2 linked regions of the Bombyx mori genome follow. The protein of the gene in region 1 interacts with the protein of each later gene in a biochemical or structural test. Links are inferred from orthologs where the notes say so. Each region holds a gene or a part of one and is shown on either strand. Other genes may lie near its edges. The genes, in order: plexin A3 and semaphorin-1A.

Region 1 (16,629 bases):
TTAGATAAGCCATTTAATAATAAATTTTAATAGATTTTAATAATAGAATTTTAGATAAGCCAGATAATTTGTAGACAGCGTCTTGGCTCTGCCCCTGGTATTGCCGTATGTGGGCCGTATGCTCGTCTGCCTAAAAAGACAATAAAAAAAATCCAATTCAATTTACGTTGCTGTCTATTGGCTCCGATAACCACTCAGCACCACAGGGGCCCTGAGCTCGTCCAGCCATCTTAGCTATAATAAAAACGACCAAACTTCTACGTATATTATATATCAATTACTTAGTTTTTGTTAAATTTGTCACCGTTTTATTTATTTATTACACTTAATGTAAAATTAACATTGGCGGACTTAATGCCTAAGATATTCTATTCTATACACTTCTCTACCAGTCAACCAAAGGTAGTGCAGAGAATATAGTAGTAGGTGCAATGAAATTTATATTAAATTACAAATACATGCACAAAAATATATACACACAATACTTGAGCCTAAATATATATACACATATACACAAATACATACATATAATAGTGTATACAGTATTCAAAGAAATAGCAACAAATTCACCAAATTACTACAAGTTAATAAAGTCACGACGGTTCATGACGATTTTATAATTTGACAATGCATGATTCATGCACCGACAGAACAGTTCATTCATTTTTAAATAGGTCAATACAACCACACTTGTCTACCTACCGAACAGTGCAATGAATTCGGTTGCAGCATAGCACTTGTAGATGTTTCAAGTTCACTTGAACAACGGATATCTCAACCTTCGAACCAGAAAACAAGATCGTTGAGAGGAAGGTCCAAATAGGCAGAACATTAACACCAACATGTACGACCAGTACTTTAAATAGGAATTAGGAGAATTAGGATAATTGGTAGGACCTCTTGGGGTCCACACGGGTAGGTTCCACCACCCCGCCTATTTCCGCCGTGAAGCAGTAATGCGTTTCGGTTCGAAGGGTGGGGCAGCCGCTGTAACTATACTGAGACCTTAGAACTTATATCTCGAGGTGGGTGGCACGTTTACGTTGTAGATGTCTATGGGCTCCAGTAACCACTTAACACCAGGTGGGCTGTGAGCTCGTTCACCCATATAAGCAATAAAAAAAAAAAGTTAAAGCTCTCGTATCTCATGGCCATAGACCATAATGGTATTACATGTGTCGCAAATCTGTCCCAGTGTTAAGAGGTAACTGGTGTCCATAGAAATTCATAGGGAGCATACCACCCACTCAGTCACGTCAGGAAAAATATAAGACGCTAAACTTTACTGTGAAAAAAAAATGCACTAAGCAAAAATAAACACAGAAGAAGAAGTACAAATATAAAAATAATTCGCAGCAATTGTCACTGTGCTTAGTGTGAATTTTTCAACGTTCTCGATAGCGTAAAAGTTAACTCAAATTTGTAAGCAGTAGAACCGTTTGCCGTTAGGGGCGCTGTTTCAACTGCATACAAATTTGAGTATCGAAAATGTTAAAAAACTCGGACTAAGATCACAGTAAGAATTTTTCAAACGAATTAAACGCTTCTAATTAAAAAAGTTAAAATTTACAATTCGACTGTAGTCTCGGAACTAAGTAATTGAGCAATTGAATGGCGTTCGTATGGTGTGTGAGCCCCTAATCTCAATAACCAGCTTGCAGCATATGATAGCGGCAGCCAGAGTGACCTCAATTTCTCAATATCGGATAAAAACGGGTTCAAAAGTTGGCGTCAAAAATATGTATTTTCTAACAAAGCACATGATTGACATTACACACTGATGTACCCATAATGTTTACTGATATAAATACATATAAATGATGTATCAGATACTAAAGTAGTATTATTAGTAGCTCATAGTACAATTTAGGATAGTTACGTGCTGTTTATTTATTTATTTGCATCCTAGTTTATTTATAGCACAAGTTCTAAAACACAAAAACAACCGTGATATATTTTACTTTCTCGCAAAATATAAAGACTTCCTAGATCATAAACAGTATAACCAAGAGCTAAGCTAATCTTTTACAAGGCATATGAAATAAAATTAAGATGTACCGTGTCAGAGCAATCTCATCTTCTGTCGACGGTACCAAAATTACCAAACCGCACCAAAACTTCGCTGTTTATGACTCATAACCGTACGACCAAGAAATAATGCACGTTCCGACGGGTCCTCCGGCTAATAACATGGATTTTAGTGCTTTATTGGCTTTCATAAAAATATTTACAATGGCCCGTACTACGTAGAAAATTTCTTTTAACGGTAATAAAAGTGCTATGTAATTTTGATGATGAACGTTGTTGGCCGCGACCCGGTTTTTAATCATTATTTTAAATATGTACACAATAATTTTAAAACATTTTAGACTGTAATTATTAAGAGTACGGTAAATGATAATTTAATAGTAAGTCAACATTAGTTTTTATTTAGGTATATATATGTAACATAACTTAAAGCACAGTGGGGAGTGCCCTGAGGAATTATTCGAGATGATCTTTCATCTCCTTTTCACCATCATACTGCTTGCCACCGAAGCAGAGTTCGTCCATACTATCACGAGCCGTTGCGTTCATCCACAGTGCGTTTCCAGGGATCTTTACTGCCACACACCATCCGGCTTTAGTTTGAAGGGTAATGCGCCGTTCTACTATAAAAACTGAGCCACAGAACTCATTCCTCAAGTTGTATGATGGAATTTACGTTGTTGATGATATAAATGAGCTCTGATGACCACTTAAAACCGGAACTTGTCCATCTATCTAAGCAATAAAAAATGAACTCCCCTCCAAAGTGTTTCTCGGGTGCTATGACTATGACATGTCCTTCTTTAAACGAGGATTTCGGAGAGTCCTCAGGAGTAGGCAGCGGCTTTGGTCCTCTGATATCGCTGATGTTCATGTGTGATGATAACTACTTACCATCAGACGGCCGTACGCTCGTCTGCCAATAAAGGAAAGAAAAGAGACGCCACCCATAGGACCCTGATAGTTAAGGCAAGCGATCAGATATTTAAAATTGTTACATCCATAATGCTTACTTTATTACAGGAAGGGCTCAATTCGGCGTTCACAATCGAAGGATGTACCTAAAGGAATTTATAACCACCGCGCATTCACGATCAATAATTATTACCATGTGGGTGTACGTTATAATATTTTCTTTCTATGTTAATACGTCTCCAAGTGCTGTGTGAATGGAATTTGAATAGCGTTCAGGCATAATTTATGACGTGCTCTATGTTTTGTCTACACACCAGAATAATGTCGGCGTTTGAAATGTATCTTAATACTAAATAAACTATTTAAAGACATACGTTGTCGTGTTAACAACGAAATTAAGAAGAAAAAAAAAGACGCCAAGATATAAACTGCTTTATTTAGCAACAGCGATAAACTAGCAGTGAGTTATGAATGTAGGACAATGACATTTTAAGTGGTGCCACCATAATGCCGTCAAAACACATGCAGTTCTTAGCAATTCCAATTTAAAACAACGTGAGAAGAATTTAGCCTTATTTCGACTTTCAAACTTGATTGCAAGACTGCTGAAAGAACATATTAATTACCAATCCCTCCTATAAATCATTTGGTGATTTACTGTATCCGCATTTCTTAATCAAATTCTCTCTTGATTGACATTCAGTTAAAAGATAATTTTTGTGGGTCGTAATCATACTTCGTCGGATAGCAAACTTTTACTCACGTAAACACAAAAACAGTTTTGTCCAATAAAAAATCATTACAGTCGGAAATGCGACACACTTTTCGAACATAACGGACCAACGAATTACTGAATCTCTTATTTTGAGACGCACGATCAGTCGTCGACAAATCTAGATCTGCTATTGTATAAACAGACATACTTCACTTATTAAATCAGAAATCGTGACTGTTTCCATCTACGTTCACCCAAATAAAGACTAGTGTTTAGTTTTGTTTTGGTAGCTAACAGTCATCCATAAGGATGACGACCTATTATTTCAAGTACTCATAAATCTCAATCGAGAAATTAAAAATAAGCATCATTACGATGCGGCACACGCTTATTGTATTACCAAACTAATAACCTTCGCACTAGGGTAATAAACTAGTCAATAATATTCTTTGTCAGTATTTCCGGTTGCTCCTATTAGAGAAACCTCATGTGTACCTAAATCATCATCTTGCAAATGTTGAATATTATCGGCTATCGATAGTACTATCTGAACCTGAAGTAGGATTTCTTATCTAAGTATAATCGAAATTACCAAAATAACGTCACTAAATAGGTCTCACCACGTGCGACTCGTGGACCGCAACGTATCGACTTTTAGTGGCAACATGCAAATCCGCGACTGGTTGCAACATGACATGACGAGTGGCGGCCCGTAGGTGGGGGGCAGCATTCCTAGCGAATGGCCTGCGGTGGGAGGGAGGTCATCGACCGTCCTCAACCGGCCGCACAAACTACGCAGCCGCATAAGGTCAATACAGCTTGACCACATGTTGCAGTTCTCGCTCCTTATTGCCATTGCTGTTGCCGACTTATTCGAAAAGTATGACTTTATTGGCGTTAATTGGCGAGACTTCGTTACATCAGATATATTTTGGAATTTCATTAATGTACAAACATTCAGAAACATATTTTCATGAATCCGGTTCATCGAACGAGAAAGTCAATTGAAATAAAAGTTTAAAAAAATTACACATTCGTCCTCAGTGCCGTTCTAAAATTTTAACAATCCTTAAATTTCGAGTTTCCTAAATAAATTTAGGACCGGTCTTTCATTACAGCGACGAGTTATATTTCGAAAGCGGCCATTGTTCGCAAGCAAACCCGAAATCAATTACGAATACATAAGAAATCTAATTTGAGATTGGGCAATGAGATATTATCTGGCCAAAACAGTGGACGCAATCAATTTTGTTTTCACAAGTGTTCAAATCAGTCAACAAGATTTATAGGCAGCGAAATAACTACCTTACCAATTAGTTTCAATATCTAAATATCCAATATAGCAGATGACGACGATAAAACGAAATAAATACAAAAGATTGCTCTATATTGCTTATATTGCTTGCACAGCATTTGCAGTTATACTTTTTTCTTCGCACATTTCGACCTTAGAACAAATTTCTCTCCGCGATATTTCTTGAGCATTATGACATATCCTTCTTTAAACTATTTGAATCCTTGGTAAGCAGCGGCTTGACTATGCCTCTGCCATTGCTGAAGACATGCCTCGCGTCTGCCTATGAAGGCAACCAACTAAACTTAAGAAAAAACTAAGTAAGCGCTTATTTTAAATTCATGATTTTATAATTAATAAAAAAAAAACTACTAATCAGACTTCTGGATAAAGATAATAGGTATAGATAAAAAACAGACATGGCAACGATAATTTTACGTTAAACAGAAATTAATCAAATGTAACCAATGTACAACTAAGCTGTTGCATTGATATGATGATTGGCTTTAGCAGATAATGACTTCAAATTCACTACACAATACACTACAGTGGTGTGGTAACAGCTACTAAGTTTTAATTTCCCTACTTCGCGACCAAGGTCGTAGTAATCTCCTGTTGACAAAATGTGGTTACCGGAAGCTATTTTTTATCACAATTTGACTACCGCCAAAGCATTATTGAAAGAAGAATTGAGAACCTATGGCTTTGAAGTTGAATAATTAAAACATTTCACGATTTTGCTGTCTAGTTGACAAATTGATTAATCATCTCGGCTTATTCGCTTGAAATGAGATTTAGCATAGACCATTTTACACTACTTTAGTTTCCAGATGAGATTAACCTTTATTATATCGTATTAAGTAAGTGTTCTCGTTAAAGAATTTCTTGAAGTTTCACAAGAACTGGTTTTGTTTTGGTCACTCGTCCTACATGACAAACGACGAAAACATTTGACATTTTGACCAGACTTTTAATGTCAGTATAAAGTTCAATTACATAACTTACCGTTCCCTTGTGTGCTTACCGTATTCCATCGTAATTCAATTAAATATTTTTTCGATTTAAATTTCTACAAAAACAAAGTTAACTCCACATGCAGCTAATAATAAATTTTCCTAGTTTGACTAGGCTATCCTAACCTGTACCGTTATTACAATTAAATCCCTATGGCTATTCGAATCTTGGCTTCAACAGATTCCAATGAAAATTACCTTAAAAGCCAAGATTTATTTTACAGTATGTGCGGAACAAAACGCATGGGTTTCAAATTGCATTCCACACTAAACAGTTCTATGGTAAGTGTAGGATTCTTGACCTATTCTAGTTTTAGTCAAACATTTTTTTATTATCTACAAAACTCCTTTCTAAAAAAATCATACAATTCTTATTTAGAATAAACGAGATCAAAGTTTGATATATGCTCCATTTTAGAATTATTATGCAAAAGACTAAGTACGCTTCCTACACGATAACTTTTTGAAGAACAATGGTAAAAGTTGTTCGCGCTTCATAACTATCTTAAACGCAATCGGAATATTACGACACACGCTAATTATGATATTCCCAAGACACAGCGCGTGGGCGAAATTGTAAGTTTCCAAGTTGTTTATTTTTATTGTTCCACTTTAAAGGTTTTAGTGTTTAATGTACTCTCCAATAATTATTTTAGCATGAATATAGAAGTACTTACTCTCATATCCAGCCGTCCAAGACCACAAGGAGACCATCGCCAGCAGCCAGTGGTACATGAGGCCTTCGATCTTCCAATAGATGGGGGCGAACAAGGGTTTGAGAAGGCGCAGCGCCATCATCCACAGCACGTACGCGGGGATGCAGTATAAGTTGTTGACGACCGCGAATGTCGTCCGCGCCACGATCCGCACGTACCGGCTGAAAAAGCAGGGCCGCTTCGGTTCATCCATGACGTCTCGCACGTCGCCCTCGCCTCGCCACGTAACGTACGACAAACATGAGTGGTGATATGACATGTTAGGTGCTGGATGCACGGTCCCGAGTGCGAGGCGAGCAGACATGGCACCGTACCGCGTTCTCCCTGCCGACAGCTGCCGAGACGCGGGGGCTTTCGTCGTGCGCGGACGATCGCGCTGCGCCCATTGCAAATTAAATAAAACAACGCTTACATACATTCGACGATATTTATTAATGGAATCGTTCACGGGTTCACTGTCGGTTATTTCGTTAATAAGACTGCGAGTACAAATTTAAAAATCGCCCGTTGGCGAGCGAAGCCGTCGCTCGCCGGCGAGCTTACATGCGAATTCTTTGCGACACACATTATACACCGATCGACGTAACATTAACTCGTACGACGCGAGCACACATAAGACAGACATACACAATTTATTTCATTTATTACTTTACGATGAATACATCCGGCACGACCGTAGCCGGCCGAGCTCGTCGTGTAAAATCAATACAAAGTTCATTTATATAAAATTAAAAAACGATCTGACCGCTGAAATTATACAAAAATTACAATATTAAAGACTGTACACTATCTAATATATACAATAAATGCCAGCATAGATATGTGCGTGAGCGTTATATACAGGGCGGTGGGGTCGGCATCACAGCGTCAGGCGAGGCGATCACACGTTGTAATCATGAGCCATGAGGCTGTGCACCTGCTCGAGGCGGTATGCGAGCCGCTGCTTCTGCGAGAACTCGTCCTCCTCGAGCGTTACCGTCAACTGTTCGTTGTACCTGTCCGCGTACGCGTACAGCTCGTTCAGCGCACAGTTCGTGTTGAACTCTTTCGTGTGGAGGCGAGACTCCTCCGCAAACATCGCGTTCATGTCCTGATCTGATATTGCCGGCATCAACTTAATGTCCGCATAGTAACGTTCCACCCACTCCTTGTACACGGGAATGTCTTTAGCGTAAAGAAGCTTGGACGAAGGCGAGTCTTTGCCTAAAATGTGATCGGAGGTCGAGCAAGAGTCCATGAAAGTTTGCGCGATAACAGATAAGCAAGAATCTACAGTATTTGACTTATGAACATCGAACACGAAATTAGGATTTTTTATCAGGTTCACCCAGAAGCGAAGAGGAAGGGAATTGCTTTTCCAAGTATGCACAACTTCGGGGTCGGATATTGCGTGCTGTAATGCCTGATCATCGAGGAAATCGAACATATACTTTATGGCCAGAGGCAACGCCGAACCGCGATGAGCTGTACTGAAAATGGTCTCAAATAAATCATCGACAAATTTCTGCAGAGTGCCTTTCGTGGCGAGAAGACGTGTGAGATAAATCTCAGAGACCATTTTATTGCCACGCTCACCCTCCTTGCGTGCGTCATCGTCGTGATGTCTCACGAGATGCCAGTATTTAAAGCCGCCACCGTGATCGTATTTCAGTGGGCTTGCAGGGGGACTAGCGGATCCGTATTTGCCTCGATTTAAAGTTTCGTAAGTATGAGACTTGTCATTTTTCTCCATATTAGACAAATTATAAACCGAACTCTGTTTTGCAACAAGACTAAGGCAAGCGCCATCCGGGACGCGGTAATGATTCAGGGTATTGAGTTTACGCCATTCTCCTTCACACTTCGTAGTACTATCTTCGTCGTAAAGAATCAACCTACCACAAGCCCCCGTGCGCCATTCTAAATCAAGTTCATCTCGACTAGGACGTTGGGAATACGGAGTTGAGCGATATATAGCATCCAAACATTTCTCTTTAACTTGACTTATCGTATCACAGTCTAAAACTTTAACTTGTACGTTTTCAGTGGTAGCCTCTAAGCCGCTCACAAACAAAGTTTGTTGCGAAATCGACACGTTTACGGTCATTGCTTTAAAGTCTATTGATTGGCGGATAAGTTTTTCTTCGCTAAGTGAATAACGGGCTTCAGAGGTAATGGCATCGACGGGGCCTTTATCTACCTGTCCTTTCATCGACCTAAATAACAGATACAGAGGTTCCCCGGCGCATTCGCGGAGAAATTTGTAAAGCAGAAAAGTGAACCAAGCGCTCAACATCTTTTCCGCTACACTTTCGGTACGTCTGAGCAGTAATTTAGGATGATTTTTACCTTCCATGCACTTCTCTATTAAATCAGCTAATAATGTCTTCAATACATCAGTGCAGTACTCCATTTTACTTTGGAGTGTTACCATAATCAATGAAGCTACATTCACACGATCACGCATCGAAAAATATCTATTGCTTTCTAAAGTACGAATAAATAATAAAAGGAATGTTTTATTCATAATAAGCTGTCCAAACAATCTAAGACCCTTGTCTTTTCTAATAAGCTCGGGACGTTCCCACTGCAAGACGGCATGGTCGTCAATGTTAGGGAACAAAATTTTCATGGCATACGTGCGATAATCTAGGAAAGGAATACCGCCCGTGACATCACCAGTCAAATCCGTCATTTCGGTTTGCAACTCCGCAAACGCTTCCTTACATTCTGCTGCTACTCTTAACTCTAAAATATCCATCTGTTCCTGCATACTCTTTAATACCCTAATATTTTCTGTTGACTTTCGCCTATACATAACTAAGAATCCCACAACTATAAATAAGAGAATACCTATACTGATGCCGACCCCTATCAGTGCTGGTTTGCCTATAGCGGCTTGCAAACCAGTCTGCGAGGAATACGACAATTTACCAATCTTGTAGGTGAGAGCACGTCCTACTTTAACTACTACTTCAAGAGTGTCAACACCGTCAGGAAGATCTTCCCGCGAAGGGGGACGACAAGTCAGTTGATGCCGTGACAACGATGTTACGTTGCAAATGCTGTCTCCGATTCGAACTTCTACATCAGCCTCAGTGCACGCCCTATCCAGATTTTGACCGTTAATAGTTAAATAATCAGACTTGTAATACTTTAAATCTTCGCCGAATTTCTCATAAATGGGATCAGGATATAAAAGGAACGCGTCACCAGTCTTAGTTGTGAGGTTCTGTACACTTTGTACGTCGTCCATATTGAAACCGTATTCTAATGCCAAAGGTCTATCAGGATCTAGATTGAGACCAGCACTTTCAATACCGGGTGATTCACAAATCAGAACAGTTTGAAAATCTGCCCTATAGCAAGGAGCAATGTAAGGTCTGTTATCGTGATATACATAGATCTGGGGCAATAGAATTGAATGGAAATTTCTGCCCATCACTTTGATGCTTATCCCGCCGGACGGAATGCCTTTGGGTTGTTTGCGTTGCGATAATAATGGTGGACCGGATTCAACGGACACTACAACAGGATCCTCTATGTATTCAAACTTTTGTCGTTCTAGAGTTCGCATCCCGTTATCGAAACGCATTCGCAGTGTGCCCATTTTGAGTTGATACGAATGGCTTGTCCTACACACAGCTTCCTCGTGCGATACTGATAAAATAGCACAAGGCAAATCATCGATATAAGCTTGTATATTGCTGCCGGCGTTTAGATATTCACCCGTGATACGTAACTTCGTACCGCCCGATTGTGGCCCGTAGATTGGTTCGATAGAATTAATTTTAGGGTTAACGAACGCGTAGTGTTGTTTAGATTCATCGCGATAATCAGCAACACGAACAACTACTGGCCCATCACGGGGAACCTCTTCTCCGGGACCGTCTACAGTACAAACGATTTGTTTTGTTTTTATGTATAATTCTATGATAGGCTGACATTTTATTCCGGCAATAGTTACCCCGTTATATATGTCAGATATATTCCGACCCAGGTTTATACCTTCGATGGTTATGTTTGTTCCACCATCCCATGGGCCAAGCTGTGGTCTGAATGAATGAATTTCAGGATTAGGGCAAGTTTGTGTTCGATTTAACCAAACACTAGGTGCTCCGCACTGTTCTTGTACTTCGCACCTGTCGGACCCTTGACACCAACCACAACCAAACTTCTCAGGGAGGGCGAGACACATGCCGCAATTATCAGCCATATCGTTACAACGGTAGATGAGAATATGAGTATTATCCGGGTTATCAAGAGGTTTCGACCCACCCCATATTACAGCAAACGAAGCAGTAATATTAGGAGCTCGGGAAGTATAAGTAAATTCAACGGATTCACAATATATGGTATCTGCTAAAAGTTGAGCGTTCACGTGAGTGACTCTACCCTCAATATTGAATTGACAAACGAATCTAGTTTGAACGATAAATTGGCCTATTATGTGGACTTTAACTTTGATTTGTTTTTTAACACCGGAAGGTACTAATATTTCGTTGGTACCGTCGGACGTTGAATTTATTGTTGGACAAAAGCTTGGACCAGAACGATAACTTGGGCCTATTCTACTAACTCCCGTTACTAAAATATCATTACGGCAATTTTCAGCGGTATCGTGGGTGCAGCGGTGACCGTCGACACACCAGTCGCAAGGGAACGAGGAACTGACGCATTGTGTGCACGAGCTGTACGTATTACAATCAAAGAATGTAAAATTGGTCGCTACAAAGTCAGGTCCCTGAGTAGTGCGCACCGATAACTTAGCAGTGAAGTGATGTTGACCAGCCGGTATCGGTGGGAGCGTATCGGTACGCGGAGTTGTACAATTAACACCGTAAGTTTTTCTGGTAGCGTTCGTTATAAGAGTACGATCTAAAGCTGTAAATGCACATAAAAATTGTCCATTGAGTGTAGGCAAGTTTTCGATGAGTAAATCTAGTGTTCTTGCTGTCGTTCGTTGCAATTGATTAGGTGTCACTTGGGTGATGGTTGTACAACGCCCGCTGCGGTAAGGGATCCAATACAAAGGATCTTTAGCTGCCTCCTGACAATCTGACCGCAGACTGCATTTGTTTTCTAAAGAACACCATCCACAGTACGGGTCTTTGGCTCCGAGACACGTCAAACAGGATTTGTAAACGCTGCACTCTTGCACTTTCACTTTAGACACTTTTCGTTCTGTCATCACATACAAATGCATTAACTGAGTATCGAAGAATAAGTCTTTATTCACTGGTGAATCTTCGTCAACAACGATATCCCCGTATTCAAATGCAGAAGTTGCACTTTCGACCACAATCTTTTTGAGATGTCCTTTCGCCGTTCCCGCAAACACTACAGTATAATCGCCAGTGGCAGTTGCGGCTACTGCAGTAAGTCTTTTCTTAAATACAGCTACCGGGACCGCTTCCACTGGTTGTTCACCCCCGAGTGGAGTATTTACGTCTAAGCCACAAAAATCTTCACTGATTGATTGTAATTTTGTTCCGATACAAGTATGCGAGGGCGATATAAAATCAAGACCCCGAGATCCATTTCCGCTGAAGCATGTCTTTATATTCTGCATGAATTTACGCCGAATCGCTTTCAGAGAGTACACACAAAGGGCTGACAGATCTGATGGAGTATTCGCGTTTATTGACTCACTTTGACTGAAGGCTGCAAAGAGTACATCGTGCTGTGCCGTTATTCCTAATTCACCTGCGAGGACGGAGCCGGCCTTTCCAACAAAAGCAGCCTGTACTAGATTGTATCCAAAATTGCCTCCTCCCTCTCCGGTACAAGACATTGGAATTTCAGTATATGAATAGTAGTTTTCGTCATCATGACATACACGAACCAATTTGCTGTAGTATGTATCTGATCCTACACCTCTCAGTTGTGTTGTAAGAAAATAACTAAATCCCTCGGAGCTAAAGCCGTAGACGTAATTTATAAGATATCGCTCCCGTGATAATGAATTGATGAACATCCTCGTACCAGTCGTGACTGCGGTGCGTGCAATTCCAAACAGGCGGTCATCTTCCAGGGAACGGCTGCTGACAGTAGGAACTTCTGAACGATATGGCGAATTTCCCGTAAACGTAACACCTACGTACATAACTTGTGTCATAGGCGGGTTTGGAGGACCAGGCGCAATAAACGCAACCGTCGACGCTGTAGCATTGTTTGCCACCACCGGTTCACGAACTTCACGAACATCATGAGAAATATTATTAAGGTTTCGCACGGAACATAGCCCTTGAAGCACGGAGCCGCACGTTATGAGTCGGCTTGTCGCGTAATCGATCACCAGCGCCTTATTAACATTATCCGTCGGCTTCTTGACATAGTTGGCTGGACAATCAAAAGTGCAGAGAGCGGAATCGTTGACGGGGCCTGTAATAATCGATTGGGCTACTTCCAAATCAGGCGACAATTGATAGATTCTGTTAACAGCGCCGATGTAGACACGGCCCGTATTGCGATCCACGACGAGGTGGTTGAACTGGGATCCCGGTGCGGAGACCGGATCGCTGTAGGTCCGCACGACGTCTTGGGAGGCGCGCGCGGCGACGCACGCGGCCGCTAACGCCAGCAGCACGCGCCACATGACGGCGCGAGCGCATGTGGCCGGCACTCTACCGCGCGCACCGCCGCCCGTCACCGATGCCACCCGCCCGCTCCGAGCATCTGCAACGCGACACACGCACTCAGAGCCTGCGCGCCGTCGCCACCCACTTCCCATCGCACCGCACCGCTCCACCGCCGCTCTTCGCCTGTATATTCTCATATGGACCGTCCGGTGAAGCCTGGAGACGATTCGCAGACGAGAACCTAGCGCGACTGTGCTTTACATAAACTAATTGATAACGGCGAAGCGCACGTACGCGTTCATCGGCTCGGAGAGGTTCAGTGCGATTGAAGGGAAATCGCGAGTTATGACTTGATCTCGCGGTGACCCATCTGATAACGATATCGGTACCAACCTATTTTCGACTACATATTTATCACTTGTTATTAATCTTTTCTTGAAGACCTCTTCTGTTTGATTGACATTCAAGAGGTGACCTTGTAGCACAAATACATTTTCATTTTATTATGAAATATTCTGCCTACTTTTATGCAGAATTTAAAATGTTTCTAGTGAAACGCTGTAAACAATAAACGTTGACCTATTCCAAATTAATTTACATAATGATTTATTATATTTCGTACTTTTAAAATTGAAAAACGTTAACGAAAAGTCATTGCGTTGTGTAGATTTAATTCGGTTAAACGTTTTAGTATACAAACTTTCGTATGATAATTAACTATTATTCAATACCGTGTATCGAAACGCGAATATCGATCGAGAATTAAACACGATGACGGTAAAAAATAGATCGGTACCAAGGTATGGTCACGGGCGAACCGACGCTGTCAGTGCACTGATGTAAGTCACACGCCGACGAAAGCCTCAGCACCATCAAAGGGGATACATAATAAATATAACTAAAACAATAATTTGGCATGCTGTTCGCAACGAGGGAGTGAACGTGGTAGCGCAACGATAAAAAACGAAATGAAAAGAAATGACGGAGAAACTAAAAAACATCAATATTTAAATATCGTTTAGTAGTGGTACTCACGGGAATTCCATTGTTGGAGACACAGCGGGCTTATCGCGTGAAATTCCTTTTCTAAATTGAGATCATAAGCATAGGAAGCGCACTCTCATAGTGCGGCGACAACGAAGCGAGACCTGGAACAAAGTAAGAACCTTTCTTGAATTACATGCGATCCTGTTTCAATGAAGTTACAATACTTTAATAGATAGTATGAGCTTTAAAAACATTTTAAATCGTTTGTTTTTTGTCAATTCTTTTGTTTTTTGTCAATTCTTTTCTTCTTTTTACTACCTATACTGATAGCCTTGAGAGGCTATTTCAGCTTCACCCTAACGTATAGGTGAGCTCACGGGGCTCAAACCGGAAATGTTGCTAACACTGGCCTTAGCAGGAGCAGTGCTTCGCAGAATCTACTACAGGATCGGAAACGCGACCCACTGAGAAGATTCGGCGAGAAACTCAGTGGGCTGTGTTTATGGGTTAATTTACTCGTCGAGCCCTTCGGGTGCATCGACTGTTTACCATTCGGTCCACAGGATCGGGAATGTTTTGTCAATGATACGTATACCATATAGGAAGAGCATTTAATAACATGATCATCTTGATAACAGATCATAAATTAACATGATTCGATAAAGAAATTGTTTAACACAATTACGATTAAAAATTCAATATATTTTGCGTTTTTCGGTGAACGAGCTCACGGAAAACCAGATTTTAAGTGGATTTTGAAGCTCATAAAAATCACTACGTCAAAATCGCCCTTGTTCTTTATAACGGTCCCATCGTTCAAGCCGGATTACAAGATTATTTCGCGGAAGAGATAAGTAGGATGGTTGGTGATACCGACCTGCGGGTTCATATCTTACCACCAGTACAGTACACTTGGTGAACGCAGCATGCGGGTATGATACTCTAATGAACTTTTCTGCTCAATCTTCGGTGAATCCCTTAATCGCTCTTTACCTCGGGAAAAGATATGATGGTGCTATTCTAGACCTAAATAGTCTACTTTAACAATGGCTCTGGATAATTGTACGAGGTCATTGTGGGCATGGTGGCCATTAAGTTCCTAATTTGAGGCACAAGGTCGAAGCCTTTAATTGTATTAGGGCTGTCCAATATTACCAAGTACTTCGCAGCAGTATTAGGACGGTGGTACGATTACGTAACATTAACTAACTAATCGTACGGTCTTATTTGCCCTACCACCAGTAGACCTACTTATTATTTTATTATAAACATAGAACAAGTTTTATGCAATGACCAATCATTCTGTGATATTCGATAACGCAATTTTCTGTACAAAACCGTCGAAGAACAGGTTTGTACGTATTGCGAGCGGCGCGACCTTAAAGTGACTCACGAGCGAGCTTCGTTATTGCGTACTCACTTCGTATTACGTTCACGTAGAAATAACAAATATTCATAAGTATATGTTATACAATGATGAGACACGGGACGGCATTCTTTTAGGTAGGTCCTGTCGTCTTAATACCAAACTCACAAGGCTAAAAGTCACAAGAGTGGAGTTACGACCTTGTTGTTTCACTGCTGTGTGTGGTCGACTTAGAATAGCAACTCTCCATCTCTTCCCGTTAATGTCATAAAAGGCAACCAATTAATTCAATATAGAATGAGCAGTGTCGGTCTCAGTATTATAATAATGTGCTGCAATCGCCAACCACCCGCGTAGCTGATTCACCAGGCCGAGCAAGTTTTTTTTTTTTTAAAGGAATTTAATTCAATATTAACAAACACAGTATCGCGTAACAAGCGTTTTCACTTAAAACTAAACGAGCTATCTACCAATGATCTAAAGTGATATTTTCTTTTGATACCAGAAATTAACAGAATGTTCACAATTCACAATACGGATTTTTTTTCAGACAGCAGATAATTACAGTGGTGATGTTAAAAGGATTGTTCGTATAAAATTACACTATAGTTTATATGTTCAGTCAACTATTATTTCCCTTCTATTTAGATAAGAATTGAATTTTGATAACAGTAATGCTAGTGTCAATAAATAAACGCGTATTTGTAAATCATTAAAGGACATTAACGCAAAGTTTATTTGTAAGTTTAAATATTTAACTAGCTTTTGTGCAAATAAAATTTTAAGTATATTAAAAAATGTTTTAGCTATAAAGGAGCTCAAAGTCTGGCTATAAAGCGGTAGGTAATAGAAGCCTACCGACACCACAAACTGCCTGCCTAGACATGTGAAATTATAGAAGAATCAGGATTGATACGATAACTTGATGACATTCAGAGCACAATGAATAATTTGATACGACAAGATACAATTCGTGTTGCAGAGCGATAATAGCCACACAAAGAATTATCAAATTTCATGGTAGGCAGTGGTGGT
Region 2 (17,587 bases), on another chromosome or scaffold:
GGGTGGTGGTACCTACCCGTGCGGACTCACAAGAGGTCCTACCACCACCAAAATCGTATTAGGTACCGAGTTCGTTTACATAGTTTCGAAGTTGTTATGAAGTTTCTCGCCGGATCTTCTCAGTGGGTCGCGTTTCCGATCCGGTGGTAGATTCTGCGAACCACGGCTCTTGCTAGGGTTCGTGTTAGCAACGTCGTCAGGTTTGAGCCCCGTGAGCTCACCTACTAGTTAAGGTTCCGCTGATATATCCTCTCAAGGCTATCAGCTTAGGTAGGAATTTTTTTTATCAATAAATGCCATTGAAGTAATAAGATGTTTCAAACCTATTGATGTTCTGTCGCTGTTCGAAATATTCGTATTCAGTATCGGGATAGGGCATGTTGTCGTCTTCGTCCTTCTTGCATCTTCTTCCGCAAATGTATCCGGCCGCGAATCCTGCGCCCAGGGCTGCCAGAGCGCCGGCGGCTACAGCTAATGCAAGTGTTTCAACGGAGTATGCTGCTGGTGGTGGATCAGCGGCCAGGACTTCAGGTCCTGTTGAACAAAGTTACGTTTAGCAAATGATTTTTCCTGCCTTAGAGAGCGATACAGACTCTCTTCCGGCAGACATCACATACATATCGACGCTTGAAAGGTAAACGTGACTAAGCGACAATAACTGCTTTGTACATAAATGATAGGCAATAACCATATTCGATGCGCAAAAAAATATATCGACGCTTGAAAGGTAAACGTGACTAAGCGACAATAACTGCTTTGTACATAAATGATAGGCAATAACCATATTCGATGCGCAAAAAAATATATCGACGCTTGAAAGGTAAACGTGACTAAGCGACAATAACTGCTTTGTACATAAATGATAGGCAATAACCATATTCGATGCGCAAAAAAATATATCGACGCTTGAAAGGCAAACGTGACTAAGCGACAATAACGTCTTTGTACATAAATGATAGGCAATAACCATATTCGATGCGCAGAAAATATATATTTCTAGGTCTATTAAAATTATTTCAATCCTACAGCTACTAGCTAGATTCTACTACAGCTAGATTCATTAAAATAAATTTTGTTTTCAGGTATTTCAACTTTAAATTAGTCTACTGTAAAGTTCACGCATTGTCGCTTAGTCACGTTTGCCTTTCAAGCGTCGATATATTTCTAGGTCTATTAAAATCATTTCAATCCTACAGCTAGATTCGTTAAAATATTTTTTTTCAGGTATTTCAAATTTAAATTAGTCTACTGTAAAGTTCACGCATTGTCGCTTAGTCACGTTTGCCTTTGAAGCGCGATATATATATATATATATAACCTTCCCTGGACTTCCACGAATAGTTCAAGACTAAAATTAGCCAAATCGGTCCAGCCGTCTCGAGTTTTAGCGAGACTAACGAACAGCAATTAATTTTTATACATAGAGATTTTGTCTACGACTAAGGACAAGTTGAGTATCACTGATGAAATATTTCTGTAGTTATTCAATTAGGTTATTATATATATATATATAAAAACGCTTAGACAGGTGACTGAATTCATCTGATTGAGTTAAATGGTTAGAGAGCCCATAGACATTACTAAGTGAATGCTGTCATCGATCTTAAGACATGAGATCATTAGACATCTTAAGATATGAATTATAGTATATAACAGCTGTTCCATCCATCAAGCTGAAACATATGACCTTACAATACGCCTACCGTCAGTTAGCACGTACCTTCATTGTTGTTGCTATTTCCCTTCCCATCCTTATCTTGGACAATATTGATAACCTCGCCTTTATTTTCTCCTCTTGCGTCATCGTAAAGACCCGAACTTAAACCACCCACTGCACCTGCGTCTTTACCTACAAACAAAGTATAATTTCAACACCTTTTTGGAATTCATTACGTGATTCATACAAGCAAAAAGTCGATATCGCAACAGTATTGTGTGACGATTTAGCCACACTTGATAATGGAAAAGCTTCGTAAAGCCGTATGGGCAAGTATTATATTGTTATGCCGGTAAGAGTAACCCCATTTATCATCAAATAGCAGAAACGAATATCAAAAGAGCTAGCTAGAGTACTATCGGGTGACATTCGAGAAGTGTAACGCCATCTATTATCAAATAACAAAAATGTGATCGAAACGATCTTTATGGCCGCTCTGAATGTAGCCGTCAGTACGAACTTGCTCATGGTACAGTCGGGTGGACATTTCATAACCAAGTTTTTTTTGTTGTTGTAATTAATAACGATAGCAACGAGAAACAAATAACAAAGAAATAGCAATATGAAAATATTCTGAACGCGACGATACTGTCATAGCTCAGCGAGTATGTCATTGGTGTACGAACGTAGCACTCACACAACGCGCGGGTGGCGAGGACGCTTGTGAGCGGAAGACAGAGCGCGCGGGCATGCCCTGCCTCCAAGGTCAGCGCACGTCCCGCTGATACCTGATTTTGTGTTCTGCGCAGCGTAATGCGGCTAGGTTCGGAGCGGCCATAAAGTTTGGCGAGTACTATACTATCAGAAATGTTCTTGATAATTGCAGACATGTCGTGTTGCCTATAAAATCGTTGCAGAGATGTGACGAAAGCAGTTTGTAATCAGTTCTACTCGAAGCGAAACAGCGAACGGATCACTTGAATCGATGCGGACGAAGAGAATTGAGAATTGTGAAGTGGACCTTTAGTGTTGTAGTTGTTCAATAGAGTTTTTATTTGTACTTCCGTGAAGGTTTTATTTATCCCGACCTCTAGCGCGGAACAATACTATTATCGTGCGTTTTATAAGTCATTACTGTGAGGGCAGGCAGTATGGCTTCCCGTGCTGACACTCTGGTAGAAGGAGTTTTCGTCCAGCCAGCGACTGACGCCGTGCGAGTACGCTCGACACCGTCCGGCTTGTTTGTCCCACGCACAGTACGGATCTTGTAGAGCAACACATTCGCTGGGGAAAAAAACAAGCGCATTGTAAAAACCGTTTTAAGATTTTACCTTGAAATCACTTTCAAGAATTATTCTTTTAAGACAACGATGGAATAATCAAACCAGTGAGTCGTTTGTTTTTAATTTGTAAGATGAGAACTTAAGGAATGAACAATAATTATTTTATAGGCGAATTTTATATAAGTTTCACGAGTTGATTTTTTTTTATTGCTTAGATGGGTGGACGAGCTCACAGCCCACCTGGTGTTAAGTGGTTACTGGAGCCCATAGACATCTACAACGTAAACGCGCCACCCACCTTGAGATATAAGTTCTAAGGTTTCAAGTACCTATAGTTATCACGGCTACCCCACCCTTCGAACCGAAACGCATTACTGCTTCACGGCGGAAATACGCGGGGTGGTGGTACCTACCCGTGCGGACTCCCAAAAGGTCCTACCACCAGTGAAAAATTAATTCCGCTAAATGTTTTTAAAAAAATTATCACAATCGGTTTATCCAGAATAAAATCTGAGGTAACACATAAAAAAACCGAGTAATTGATAACCTCCTTTTTTGGAGAGGGGTTAATAATAGTGAGACAAGGCACGGTTTGCTTGTCTGAAATTTAGTATAACTTTTATATAACATACTAGCTGACCCGGCAGACTTCGCAGTGCCTCAATCGATAAATAAAAGACCTAAGCTATTGTATAAAATAAACTTAAAACAAACAAAAGGAATTCGTCCGACGAGGGAGGGACACACACATCAAAGGAAAAACAAAATTGTTATTTTTATTTAATTCCAAGCATTTTCATATTTATCTACCTTTTAAACCTTCTCTGGACTTCCACAAATAATTCAAGACCAAAATTAGCCAAATCGGTCCTGCCGTTCTAGAGTTTTAGCGAGACTAACGAACAGAAATTCATTTATATATATATATATATATATATATATCCTGCAACACTTTTGGCATCCAATGAACACAAAAGTACATTTAAAGTGGCGACCACCGACATTTGGCGACCAATATGCGGTCGCCACTTTGTTTCTCAATATTTTTTACACCAGTCAACTGTAGATGGAGTTATGGTTACTATATCAATTTTTGAGATGGTCACCAAATTGCCTCAGAAACGTTTGGAAAAGCATATCGCAGTGTCGAGCGGTGCCGCCAGAGGGTGTGTATACGTAGCGCTGTATATTGGCTTTTACCATACCGATGATTTGGCGTCGCCAGCCAGCTCGAAATTTCGCTTGTGAACAACGTGACGTTGCCGACTATTCACTTCGGATTCAAATTATACAAAACTATGTACTTATTATAACGTGGGTGTAACCCACTTATTAATAGTAGTACTAGTAATTATTTCGGTATTACGGTCGGTACATTGATATTGATATTTTTTTTACTAAAAAAGATTTTTTGGTGTCATATTTGCAATTATACCATATATGATCATTATACACCTGATGAATGTGACTGTAATTATCAAGCTAGGTTCATCTAGGTTTACTTCTACAGATTGATTAGTGGTTAATTCTCTTTTGTTTATAATCAAAATGGATAAAAAGCAAACGAGAAACGGATAATATTATAACAGCCGGCATTATAATATTCTAGTCGCTGTTTATGCGCTAAGATTTCTTGTGTAGAAGAAATAAATCACCCTCAAATTCCTGTGACACTGAAACTTTGCAGATTACTAGGTGTCACCGGTGACACCTTATTTCGGATTTTGATTCTTAAGATAATAAAAATCATATTTAAATAACTATAGCGAAAATCAAGAATCGAATAGTCATAACAAGTCTCTTTCGTTTTCTCATTAATGTTCGAAACATTAATTTCAGATTTTTCAACACTTCTGAACCAAGACTTGATGATTATACTAAATTATAATAAATAATTAATATATTATTATTATTAATAATAATAAAATAGGTATTTGGATATGATTTTCTAATATGGCAGTGTGCTAGCTGCCTCCTGTCACATTCTTAACAAATAAATTATTTAAACTCAAGGTCTTAAACATAACTAAATCTGCAGGTACAGGTGGCAACAGAAATTTGTGACGAAAATAATCTTGAAAAAAGAGCGAATTTCACATTGAATTCTAATGTTAATTCAAGTACATTCACAAATTAGTACATTGTGCACCAAGGGAGAAAAGTGGAACATTTCCTCCCGCATATACGCTTTTTTTACAATAAAATCATTTTTTCTTACACTATTTTTCAAATTTATTAAAATTTATTTTCTATTTTTTAGTTGGGTTTCTATAAAAGCATATTTTGTTAGTTTTTTTAAACTATTATTTTTTATTTTTTAGTTGAATTTCAATGTTTTCAATTTTATTTTAATATTGAATTGTCATCGGTCCTTAATAAGTATACCAAATTCTGAGTTAATCCGGCGTTTTGAAAATCATGTTCAAAGATTCCGTTCCAAACATACATATGTCTGAAGCTAATAAAAGCGTATTAAATACCACAAACACACAAAAATAAAATAAAAAAAGGCTACGTCTTGCTGCTTGAGCAGTGCCCATCTGCGGAGGTGGTGGTCCTTGCTGACTTTAACGCTCATCACCACGAGTGGTTGGGGTCCAAAACCACTGACCTCCCGAGTCGGGCAGCCTACGATTTCGCTTTGTTCTACGGCCTCACTCAGCTGGTGACACAGCCCACCCGTGTCCCAGACATTGAGAGGCACGAGCCTTCTTTGTTGGACCTTCTGCTGACATCTCACCCAGCTGGATACAGTGTGGTGGTCGACGCTCCACTTGGATCGTCTGATCACTGCCATATCCGTACTGCAATACCACTCTCTCGCCCTAGTCGTCGAATGATGACCGGGTTTCGAAGAGTTTGGCGGTACAGGTTAGCAGATTGGGACGGAATGCGTGAATTTTACGCATCCTACCCATGGGGGTGCCTCTGCTTTTCCTCCGATGATCCTGACGTCTGTGCAGACCGGCTTGAAAACGTGGTGCTTCAGGGGATGGAATTATTCATTCCTTCTTCTGAGGTGCCCGTTGGGGGTCGCAGCAAACCCTGGTATAATAAACCTAGCAGGGATGCTGCACACCTCAAGCGGTCCGCATACGCGGCATGGAATGATGCTAGGAGATGCCAGGACCCCGACATTTCGGAGGAGAGGCGGAAATTTAACGCCACCTCTAGGTTCTATATGAAGACTATTGCCAAGGCGAATTCGGAGAACGTTGCCAGAATTGGTAAGCGACTGAAAGGCTATCCCTCTGGGAGCCGTGCTTTCTGATCACTGGCTAAGGCTGCAGAAGGCGACTTCTGCAGGTCTTGTCTCCCACCACTACGTAAAGTCGATGACAGTCTGGCCCATAGTGCAAAAGAGAAGGCTGACGTTCTGGTCAAATTCTTCGCCTCGAACTTTTTTATTTATTTATTTATTGCTTAGATGAGTGGCTCGTGTGATGAGTGAGCTCACAGCCCACCTGATGTTCTTACTGGAGCCCATAGACATCTACAACGTAAATGCGCCACCCACCTTGATATAAGTTGTAAGGTCTCAAGTATAGTTACAACGGCTGCCCCACCCTTCAAACCGAAACGCATTACTGCTTCACGGCAGAAATAGGCAGGGTGGTGGTACCTACCCGTGCGCACTCACGAGAGGTCCTACCACCAGTAATTACGCAAATTATAATTTTGCGGGTTTGATTTTTATTACACGATGTTATTCCTTCACCGTGGAAGTCAATCGTGAACAATTGTTGAGTACGTATTTCATTAGAAAAATTGGTACCCGCCTGAGATTCGAACATCGGTGCATCGCCTCAACACGTATGCACCAGACGTCTTATCCATTAGGCCACGACGACTACATTCGACGACGACGAACTCCACTATGGATGACCGGGGCGCCACACCACCCAACATCCCCTGGTGTGATAGCTCTCTGCCTGAGATCTGCTTTAGACAGTGTGCAGTCAGGCGGGAGCTGCAGGCCCTGGACGTCCATAAGTCGAGAGGGCCAGATTGCATCCCTGCAATGGTTTTGAAAACCTACGCCCCTGAATTGACACCTACGCTAACGCGTTTGTATCGCATCTCGTATAGTACTAACTAACAGGGTCCCGTCTTCATGGAAAACCACCCACGTCCATCCTATCCCCAAGAAGAGTGACCAGTCGGACCCATCGAGCTATAGGCTTATCGCGATAACTTCCTTGCTTTCCAAGGTGATGGAGCGAATAATAAATACACAACTCCTGAAATGACCGACAATACGGTTTCCGTCACGGTCGCTCAGCCGGCGACCTTCTTGTATACCTTACTTACAGGTGGGCTAAAGTCTTGGAGAGCAAGGGCGAGGCTCTTTCTGTGAGCTTCTTATCACGAAGGCCTTCGACAAGGTCTGGCATAGGGCACTTCTGTCGAAGCTACCATCTTACGGTATCCCCAAGGGACTCTACAAGTGGATCGCTAGCTTTTTGGATGGGCGGAGCATCACGGTCGTTCTAGACGGTGGCTGCTCCGATACCATGACCATTAACGCTGGTGTTCCACAAGGTTCGGTGCCCTTCCCCACGCTTTTCATCCTGTATATCAATGACATCTATTGATGGCATGCATTGCTATGCAGATGACGGCACGGGGGATGCGCGATATATCGGCCATTTGAGTCTTTCACAGAGCGTGGTGCAAGAGAGACGATCTAAGCTTGTGTCTGAAGTGGAGAGCTCTCCGGGGCGAATCTCCGAGTGGAGTGAATCGAACTTAGTTCAATTCAACCTGTTAAAGACAAGTTTGCGCGTTCACTGCGAAGAAGGACCCCTTTGTCGTGGTGCCACAATTCCAAGAAGTATCCCTGAAACCTTTCACGAGTATCGGAATACTTGGAGTCGACATTTCGAGCGATGTCCAGCTTCGGAGTCATTTGGAGGGCAAAGCCAAGATGGCGTCCAAAATGCTGGGAGTCCTCAACAGAGCGAAGCGATACTTCACGCCTGGACAAATACTTTTGCTTTATAAAGCACAAGTCCGGCCTCGCGTGGAGTACTGTTCCCACCTCTGGGCTGGGGCTCCCAAATACCAGCTTCTTCCATTTGACTCCATACAGAAGAGGGCCGTTCGGATTGTCGATAATCCCGTTCTCACGGATCGTTTGGAACCTCCGGATCTGCGGAGGGACTTCGCTTCTCTCAAAATTTTGTACCGTATGTTCCATGGGGAGTGCTCTGAGGATTTTTTTGAGATGATTCCGTCATCTCGTTTTTACTATCGCACCGCCTGCCACCGGAGTAGAGTACATCCATAACTACTTGGAGCCACTGCGTTCATCCACAGTGCGTTTTCAGAGATCTTTTTTTGCCACGTACCATCCGGCTTTGGAATGTGCTCCCCTCCACGGTGTTTCCCGAGCGCTATGACATGTCCTTCTTCAAACCAGGCTTGTGGAGAGTACTCAACGGTAGCCAGCGGCCTGGCTCTGCCCCAGGCATTGCTGAAGTCCATGGGCGACGGTAACCACTCACCATCAGGTGGGACGTATGCTCGTCTGCCTACAAGGGCAATAAAAAAAAAGGAACTTAATAGGACAAATTTATGAGGTCTGCAAAGTTACCACTTACAATATTTTAGGGTAAACCTTAATGTAGATTTTTCAATGTAGTTTATCTGTTTCTCCTACTGAACAATTATGGCATTAAGTATATTATTTTCATAATTTTGATAATTGACTGCACATGGGTTTCGACAATTATAAGATCTGTGAATGGTAGTATATTTTGTCAGTAAGTGAACATGTCAGAAGTACACGCTAATGGGAGGAAGTCCGACGTTTGTAGGAATGAATTAAGTATACGGAACAATATACAGAGTTCCAATTTATTTCCAAAAAAACGGTAGACTTATCTGTAGTGAATTGATTAGTAATATATTTAAATATACGCGGATGGAGTAAGTACACCAATGTAGTTTGGTGGTCAAAAGTACTGCGAAGAATATTGATATTAGTATATTAGTATTTTCTAGGATATTGCGACAAGGTGAATTTCGAGTTACATAGTCAGTTTCATATTCGTTAATACGTTAATATACATGATTCATTTTGCTCTAAGTTTATTAGAAGTGGTGGTTGTCAGAAGGTTGGAAAATGAAAGGTTGCCAAAAGAGTTACGGGATTTATATATATATATATATATATATATATATATATATAGATAACATATTAAACTTACGAGCACGAGCTGATCTTATCACTGGAGCACCTATGGAGCCTCAAGCTGAGTACTTCTCTATCGGAGACGGCAATGAGTCTGGCGGCGTCCCGGCCGGCGCGGGCGACCCGCAGCGCGCGCACAGGCGAGCCAGCGGCGAATGCTTGTAGCTCCTCAATGACGATCGGCACGGCGCGTTTGTTTGAATCATACGAAATCGCGTTGACCGCTTTTATTATTTTACCATTGTCTGTAATAAAAGGAGTAATGTGTACGTTTTTGTTATAGATAATGATGTTCTAGATGCTTAGACGTAAGATCGAATTCTCGATGTAAAGCGTCTGTAGTCCTTCGGCCTGCTTAGGCGTTAGAAGTAAAGATCAGTAAATGTAGATATATTAAAATATTAGTTGTCTAATTGTATAGGTATTATTCTTAAAAATTATCAAAAAATAATTTGCAAAAGTTTAATTATGCAAATGCTTTATTTATACTTTGGTTATCTTTATAATTTGAATGTCTAAAATTACTGATGTATATAATAAATTTTCTTTAAAAACAAATAAACTTTTGATACTAAATCAAATACAATTATTTTGTTAAACGAAACGTATTTATAGTTTACCTGTGCCAATAAACAGTACGTCATACGCTTTCCCGCCCGGAGTCTTCACTTGTGGATCTACTGCGATTTGCGTAAATCTGTAGCTGTAATAAAACATACAATGTAATCGTTAATGTCAAGTTTTTTTATTGCTTATATGGGTGGACGAACTCGCAGCCCACCTAGTGTTAAGTGGTGACTGGAGCCCATAGATATCTACAACGTAAATGCCGCCACCCACCTTGAGATATGAGTTCTAAGGTCTCAGGATAGTTGCAACAGCTGCCCCACCCTTTAAACCAAAACGCATTACTGCTTCACGGCAGAAATAGGCAGGGTGGTGGAATCTACCCGTGCGGACTCACCAGAGGCCCTACCACCAGTAAATCTATTTATGTAATGGTATTCACAGGGTGTTGTACAAAATGTAAGAGCAATACATGTTTCGGCTCGTATCTGATACTTCTCGCCTAGGTACATAATATATTGTCTGCCTCTAGCCTCCCGGTTTGAGCCCCTCACCTACTAGATCGGTGAATCTAGAATAACCCCTCGAGGTTACTAGAATAGGTAGGAAAAAAAATTTGCCTCTAGGAGCAGATACATTTTTTTTTTGTTGCTTATATTGGTGAGCGAGCTCACAGCCCACCTGGTGTTAAGTGGTTATTGGAGCCCATAGACATCCACAATGTAAATGCGCCATCCACCTTAAGATATAAGTTCTAAGGTCCCAAGTTTAGTTACAACGGCTGCCCCACCCTTCAAACCGAAACGCATTACTGCTTCACGGCAGAAATAGGCAGGGTGGTGGTACCCACCCGCGCGGACTCACAAGAGGTCCTACCACCAGTACTTACGCAAATTATATTTTTGGGGGTTTCATTTTTATTACACGATGTTATTCCTTCATCAAGGAAGTCAATCGTGAGCATTTGTTTAGTACGTATTTTATTAGAAAAATTGGTACCCGCCTGAGATTCCAACACCGGTGCATCGCTCAACACGAATGCACCGGACGTCTTATCCGTTAGGCCACAACGACTTCAAGAATGTATATACTTTTATGTATATACGTCTATACTTCATTAAATGTATATACTTACTGAAAGCTAGTCCTAATAACGATAGGTTCTCCAAAGAACGCGGGCACAGACTCGTCCATTAACGCGTGGGTTTTTATGAAATTCAATGTTTTATCCGGCAGTTGTCTCGAGTCGTTATGACAGGTTCCCGGGCGTGGTTCAGGTACCTGGCAAAACAAATACACAATTAGTTGATGGAATTTAGTAATTGGAGTCCGGGTAGCGGGGTCTTTGACATTTAAGAAAATTCGTGTTTCGAAATCGGTACTAAAAATAAATAATAGTTTAAAAAAACTAACAAAATACGCTTTTATAGAAAAATTGTTTTTATGCTAAAAAAGCGTGGGGTGCATGGTATCAGTAGTTATAAATATTTTGTGAACAGATATGAGTAGAAGGGTTATTTTGATAATATCCTGAAAAGCACCCACGCTTTTTTACAGTAAAATCATTTTTTCTTACACTATTTTTGATTCAAATTTATTAAAATTTATTTTCTATTTTTTAGTTGGATTTTCTATAAAAGCGTATTTTGTTAGTTTTTGAAACTTATTATTTATTTATCATTTTTTAGTTGAATTTTAATTTTTTCAATTTTTTTAAATATTGGATTGTCTTAAGTATACCAAATTTCGAATTAATCCGACATTTTGAAGGGGGTCAAAATCATGTTCAAAGAATCCGTTACAATCTAACATAATATACTAACATACATACGTCTGAAGCTAATAAAAGCGTATTAATAACTAAATAATTTAATTATTTTGTTCTATATACGAGTATAGACGGCGAGCTTGTTGCTTATTAGACATTCTTCTTTCTTTACCGGTTAACCATTGGGTTATAAATTATAGTTCTCTGAGGCAATACAGATAAGGCACTTTAGGTAATACAAGAAAGAAATTAAATAAAACACATTGCGAATACTTCTCATACATAACCCCTATATCACATGCCTTTGTAGTTACACATAAATACGTACATAATTCAAAACTAAGTAAATATATTATTATAATTCCAAAATGAGGGAAAAGTTCATAGATCGTGAGGCGCGGTCTGCGAATAATATTCGTAGCCGCTAATTTCATGATGACTTCGGCCGCATCATCAAAAGCGCAATGACGTAGAGCCTTAAATGGAACGCCTCAGAGCGAGGTAACGCCGCATGAGTCATGTTTTTTCGTGCGTGCAGCTGGCTCCATCGAATTATAAGACGTTGTCACGTCAAAACAAAAACTTACTTTAGCATTGTTGACAGGCAGCCAATTTGAATTAAAAGCGCTTTGTTCCTTGAAAGTTCCTTCGAACGTGTCGGCTATGTCCTGCATGCTGAACGCACAGACCGCACTCCCGGATATACTGTTAGGCGGAGTCGTGAATGTACCGTAGATTAGTTGAGCGTTTAAGCCTCCGTAAACGCCCTCAATTAGTTCGGTCGTCGATTCTGTAATGCAACACGAGAAAGCCTGTAAGACGAATTATGATTTGCAAAACATTATAAATAACTTATTTAATTTATAATACTACTAGCTGACCCGGCAAACATTGTTTTGCCATATATAAGATTTCTAGGGAATTTCTAGTGTAGAAAAAAAAACTAACTTATTGTAAGTGTGTAAGGATGTGGTAAATGAGTGAAAGAGGCATGTAGCGCTGTGGACGTTGAGGGAATATATAATAAAAATAACAAAACCTCATTCAACCACATAATACCTCATTATAACAAAAAAAAAGTCCAAATAAAAATAATATGTTAGGGGTGGACAACCCTAATCACTTAGGGGTATGAAAAATAGATAGTAGCCGATTCTCAGGCTTACTGAATATGCATAAAAAATTTCATGAGAATCGGTCAAGCGGTTTCGGAGGAGTATGGGAACGAACATTGTGACAGGAGAATTTTATATATGTATTAGATTAAAACTGGTATTTAGCGACTGTATACAGTACAGTTTTGCGATTTCATTCGATTTCTTATTTCTTGAAGTGAAGCTCTATGCTTCTTCTTCTCTAATGCGACTTCCAACAAGGTTGCGTTAAATGTTTAACGCTACCATACTAGAAAGGGACAGAGCGAGAGTGAAAGCGTGGCACTCGAACGTATGCGCGCAGTATACCTGTTACACGCCAGCGCGAGTGTTAGAAATGAGTAGCGTCTAATATTTTAATGAAATATTAAAAAAAAAATTAAAGTATATTTATTTTTCTATCTATAATTTAAAATACATATAAAATAAATGTTGAAGATGTCGCATCTCTTATACACAGCATTCCCTATTACAAGGGCAATCTGATTTAAGAATGAAAAATGAAGAAAACCACAATACTAAACATCGAAAAAGAAGTTTCACTTCATTCACGTGCACCAAGTTGCACGCGCAACTTTTTTTTTATGTAACATTAAATAAATTAAAAAAGGTACTGACGAATCTCGTTAAAGTAAAATGGGAAGTCTCCGGCGACTGAACAGTTCAGTCTTGATTTCAGGAACGACGTCCAGCGCTGCTTGAACCTATGCGGACCTCCTCGATCATCACGACAGACTCTAGCAACTCTAGAAAAGACGGACTGAAAAAAAAAATACATTTAAAATAAAATAATAATAATAAAATAATAACTTTACTTATTAAAATTAAACATTTAAGTATTTTATTACTGTATCTTAACTGAACTGAAACTGTATCTTATTATTGATTTCTCCACTATTTAATGGATGTTATTATACATATAAACCTTCCTCTTCAATCACTCTATCTATTAAAAAAAAACGCATCAAAATCCGTTGCGTAGTTTTAAAGATTTAAGCGTACATAGGGATATAGGGACAGAGAAAGCGACTTTGTTTTATACTATTTATTATTTATATATTATTATATTATTTTTTTAAAGCCATGTTTAACTTAAAACTTTGTATACATGTAATGACTATTTATTTTAAGGAAAAATATAGTTATTAAAAGCAATCGCGATGTTAACTAAACAGGAAAAAGCATTAATTATTTCTCTTTCATTGTTCCTTTTTCGTCGAACCCTATAAACATTAAAAACGTAGATACTACCACCTACCTTGAGATATGAGTTCTAAGTCTCGCCCTACCACGAGTACACATTAATCATGAAACTCACCTTGCCGCAGTTAATGTATTCCACTGCTGTTTCTCTGAAGAAGAAATAAACGAAATTTCCGTGCACCAGTGAATTCACGAAATCCGGAGCTGTAAACATAAAATATGACAATTATTTCTCAGTTCTGTCAGAATAATTGTTGTTCAAATTGAATACGGCTATATCGTTCTAGAACGTTCGAAGTTAATTAAATTCGAAGATAATATTGGTGTTCAATACCAAATAAACGTCATACAGGTGATGCAAAGGGACGTTTATCGTAGGCGCTATAATTCTAATACGAACCTAATCGGATTTAGCGATTGTTGACGCGTCATACGTCACTCAAACGACGCGGGTTCAGCCCCGTTCTAAATTCAATTAAATTGACGGATGTGTATATGTCTGACAGCCGCATTCGAACGCATTCAGCTGTGTGGACATTACCGATAGCGTAACGTTTGTTGTAACCATTGATTGTAACGATAATATAATCTGTATATTAATTAATACGTGAAGCAAAAACTTTGTATCCCTTTTTACGAAAATTGCGTGGACGGAGGAGTATGAAATTTTCTACACTTATAGAGAATATAGAGAAGGAGTGCACAATGCTAATATTTTTTTTAAATAATGCATAAAAGATACATTAAATCAATAAAGAAAACATTAGACACACTACATACCATGTATTTGACGCACGCACGCGTGCATATTTATTTAATATTTATTGTCAAACTTTTGTTCTTGACGTCTGTGGTCAAATTGAGAATAGATTAAATATTGTTTGTCTTAATAAAAAAAAAAATATAGTAGCCTTGGCGAAATTTGTGATTATAGAAGTATAAAATACAATCATAATAGTGTACAAACTTACAATTCTAATTAATTATAATTGAATTTCGACTACTGCGGGACCTCTAGTTTAGATAGATGCTTGTGATTTAAAGCGAACAAATCTAGAATACGTTGACTTTGTAATTTAAATTATAATACAAATGCCCTTTTTTTTATTGCCGTTGTAGGCAGACGAGCATTCGGCTACCCTAATGGTAAGTGGTCACTGTCACTCATGGACGTCAGCAATGCCAGGGGCAGAGCCAAGCCGCTGCCTACCATTAAGTACTCTCCGCAAGCCTCGTTTGAAGAAGGACATGTCATAGCGCTCGGAAAACACCGTGGAGGGGAGTTCATTCCAAAGCCGGATGGTACGTGGCAAAAAAGATCTTTGGAAACGCACTGTCGATGAACGCAGCGGTTCCAGATAATATGGATGAACTCTGCTCCGATGGCGGGAGGTGCGATGAAAAAAGGAGATGAGGGGATCATCTCGAATAATTCCTCAGAGCATTCATAGACCATACGGCATAAAACACTGTTCTATTTTAATTTTTATTACACTAAGTCCAAGAATGACGTCATATTATGATTAAAACAACAACTTCTAATATTACCATCGTTACCATATCAAATATTGGTGGTAAATTAAATTAATAATGTTATATTGCCTTGTTTATGCGTTCTAACCATTTTTAGATTGCTAGGCTTACCCGGAAGTATAGTTACATAATTATCGTTTGTTTATTATTTGATCCGGAAACTATTATATATGTTTTTCGCTAATTAGTGTTTGAGCCGGAAACGGAAGCTGAACGTTGCTTGTATTTAGAAATCACTAATAAACAGTGTGTAATGATCGACCCTGATAAAAATAAGTATTGAGACAGAAAACTATTTTTTTTTAAATATAATAAATAAAGTTAACTATCATTATTCGCCCAAGTTGCAGTTTCATACAACAATTGTTACCACTGTCTACGTTGTAAACACTATTATTCTTTCTTCACGGGTTTTTACCACGATTTACACATCTAGTAGATTTTCGATGCATCGGCGCTGTTGTAAATTATGATCACGGATAGTGAAGACTGCGGTAAGGATGTTAAGAATAGACAAAACTGTCTACTTTCTTTCTATTTTAGAATTGTTACATCATTACTGGCCGCGACAATATGCTTTTATGTTAGATGTGAAAATTGGTGAAAGAGCCTCTTAAATAACAATATTTACAATAACAATCAAAATATTGTAACGAGTGACAATCAGTTAACATAAATATGGAGATACCTGGTATTGTATGGTTTGATAGATAACCAAATATTCAAACACAAAAAGTAAAATGCATGAGCAGTATATTAACTAGTAATTGATAATTAAAATTAATTCTTAATATCAATGCAGATCGACTGTAATACTGTCGAATGAAGAAAAACGCACCATACTTGTTTTGCTGAAAAGACTGAATATGCTTTATTTGCACTTCAGTCTTTTGGCATCCACTGCTGGGCATAAGTCTGTTTTATATCATAATGTGTGCTCGCCCCACACTCTCATCCACATCCGCCCTGTCGTCTTGACTATGTCATCGGTCTTCCGGCACTTACATAAATTAAAATAACCTTTACGGTTCCATTATGCGTTTATTATTTTAATTTTACTATACAGCGGAGAATTAAAGTATTCACAAATAACTTCGTCCGTGATTACGCAAATTATTAAGTCTTCGTAAGGGTGTTGTTAATGAAAATAATAAAATTCGAAATTAAAACGTAAATATGGTTTTTAATCTTGTCAGCGTCTCGCGGAATGTAATTACAAAGAAAATTAATTTACCGTTCAATGTCATCGAGTCGTAGGGTTCGGTCTGCAACGGTTCTCGGTATATTATTGGTTCTATTCCACTGAAATCCGCAACTGTCCCCGAATATAATTCGCCATCTGTAAATCATAATAATCGACAATATTATTGATCATTTTTGACAAACGTCAATCAAATTATTAGAGTACAGGTATTAATTCTACTATAATACGGTATTTTACAACACGGTTCCACTCTAAAACGAAAAGAAAAATTCCCAAAACCTCTCTTTATAAGACGGCACTTCTAAACGAGATTTTTGTTTAAAATTATTTAGAAAATTATATTATGAATATGCAATATATACGAATAACCAAAGTTTTGCGGGTTATTTTTTATGTATAGGAGGTAAAAAATACGTAGACGCATATTTGAATGTTTAATTCAGAAAAAAATCTCTTCTTTTTGTACTGGCTTCTAGTCTCATATAATATGGTTTCGCACAACACTGAACTTTTTAGGAACGTATCTATCGTGTTATAGGAGGGCCACCTTTATTTAAGTTATACTGATAAAACAATACAGTAATTGATAGTCGTATCATACCATATCTTAATTTAAAGTATACGAAAATAAACCTTATTTCAACACGCAAAATAGCGATTTTAAAACGATTCATATTACAATTATATAAGAATCGATAATAATTTCTAAAGTAAATACAGGATTGCTATACATATCTGCAATGTGCATAGTTACATGAGCAGAATTACGACGGAAAAGCTTTACATGTCCAGTCATCTATAGGGTTGACAGGTATATTTATCTATACTAATATATAAATCTACAGTGGTTTTTACGGATGTTCCGTTATAACTACTGAATCATGCATCCGATTGACTTGAAACTTGGTATCCATGTAGAAAATACGTGTACTTAATGGATAGGCTATTATTTATATGAGTGTTGGACTCCCTAATAATAATGACAATAAATAATAATGTTAATTTTAAATTCCCAGCAAAGC

What was found.
Region 2: the proteins of plexin A3 (region 1) and semaphorin-1A form a complex in vitro, tested with the Drosophila melanogaster proteins (2 studies listed by BioGRID). The link is inferred for Bombyx mori from reciprocal best matches to the Drosophila melanogaster genes PlexA and Sema1a.

What each region holds. Positions count from the first base shown.
Region 1 is NC_085124.1:14,003,081-14,019,709, reverse strand, and holds the end of plexin A3, read right to left. Parts: intron 14,390-16,629; 5' UTR 14,288-14,389; coding exon of another isoform or gene 14,277-14,287; intron 13,339-14,276; 5' UTR 13,259-13,338; coding exon 7,562-13,258; 3' UTR 7,095-7,561; downstream 1-7,094.
Region 2 is NC_085125.1:9,407,275-9,424,861, reverse strand, and holds part of semaphorin-1A, read right to left. Parts: intron 16,701-17,587; coding exon 16,596-16,700; intron 14,033-16,595; coding exon 13,944-14,032; intron 13,386-13,943; coding exon 13,244-13,385; intron 12,262-13,243; coding exon 12,059-12,261; intron 10,985-12,058; coding exon 10,839-10,984; intron 9,840-10,838; coding exon 9,757-9,839; intron 9,382-9,756; coding exon 9,153-9,381; intron 2,942-9,152; coding exon 2,793-2,941; intron 1,850-2,792; coding exon 1,721-1,849; intron 535-1,720; coding exon 324-534; intron 1-323. UniProt on the Drosophila melanogaster protein: Involved in growth cone guidance through its role in axonal repulsion. Function in neurons is essential for adult survival, motor neuron survival, and is important for climbing behavior and activity.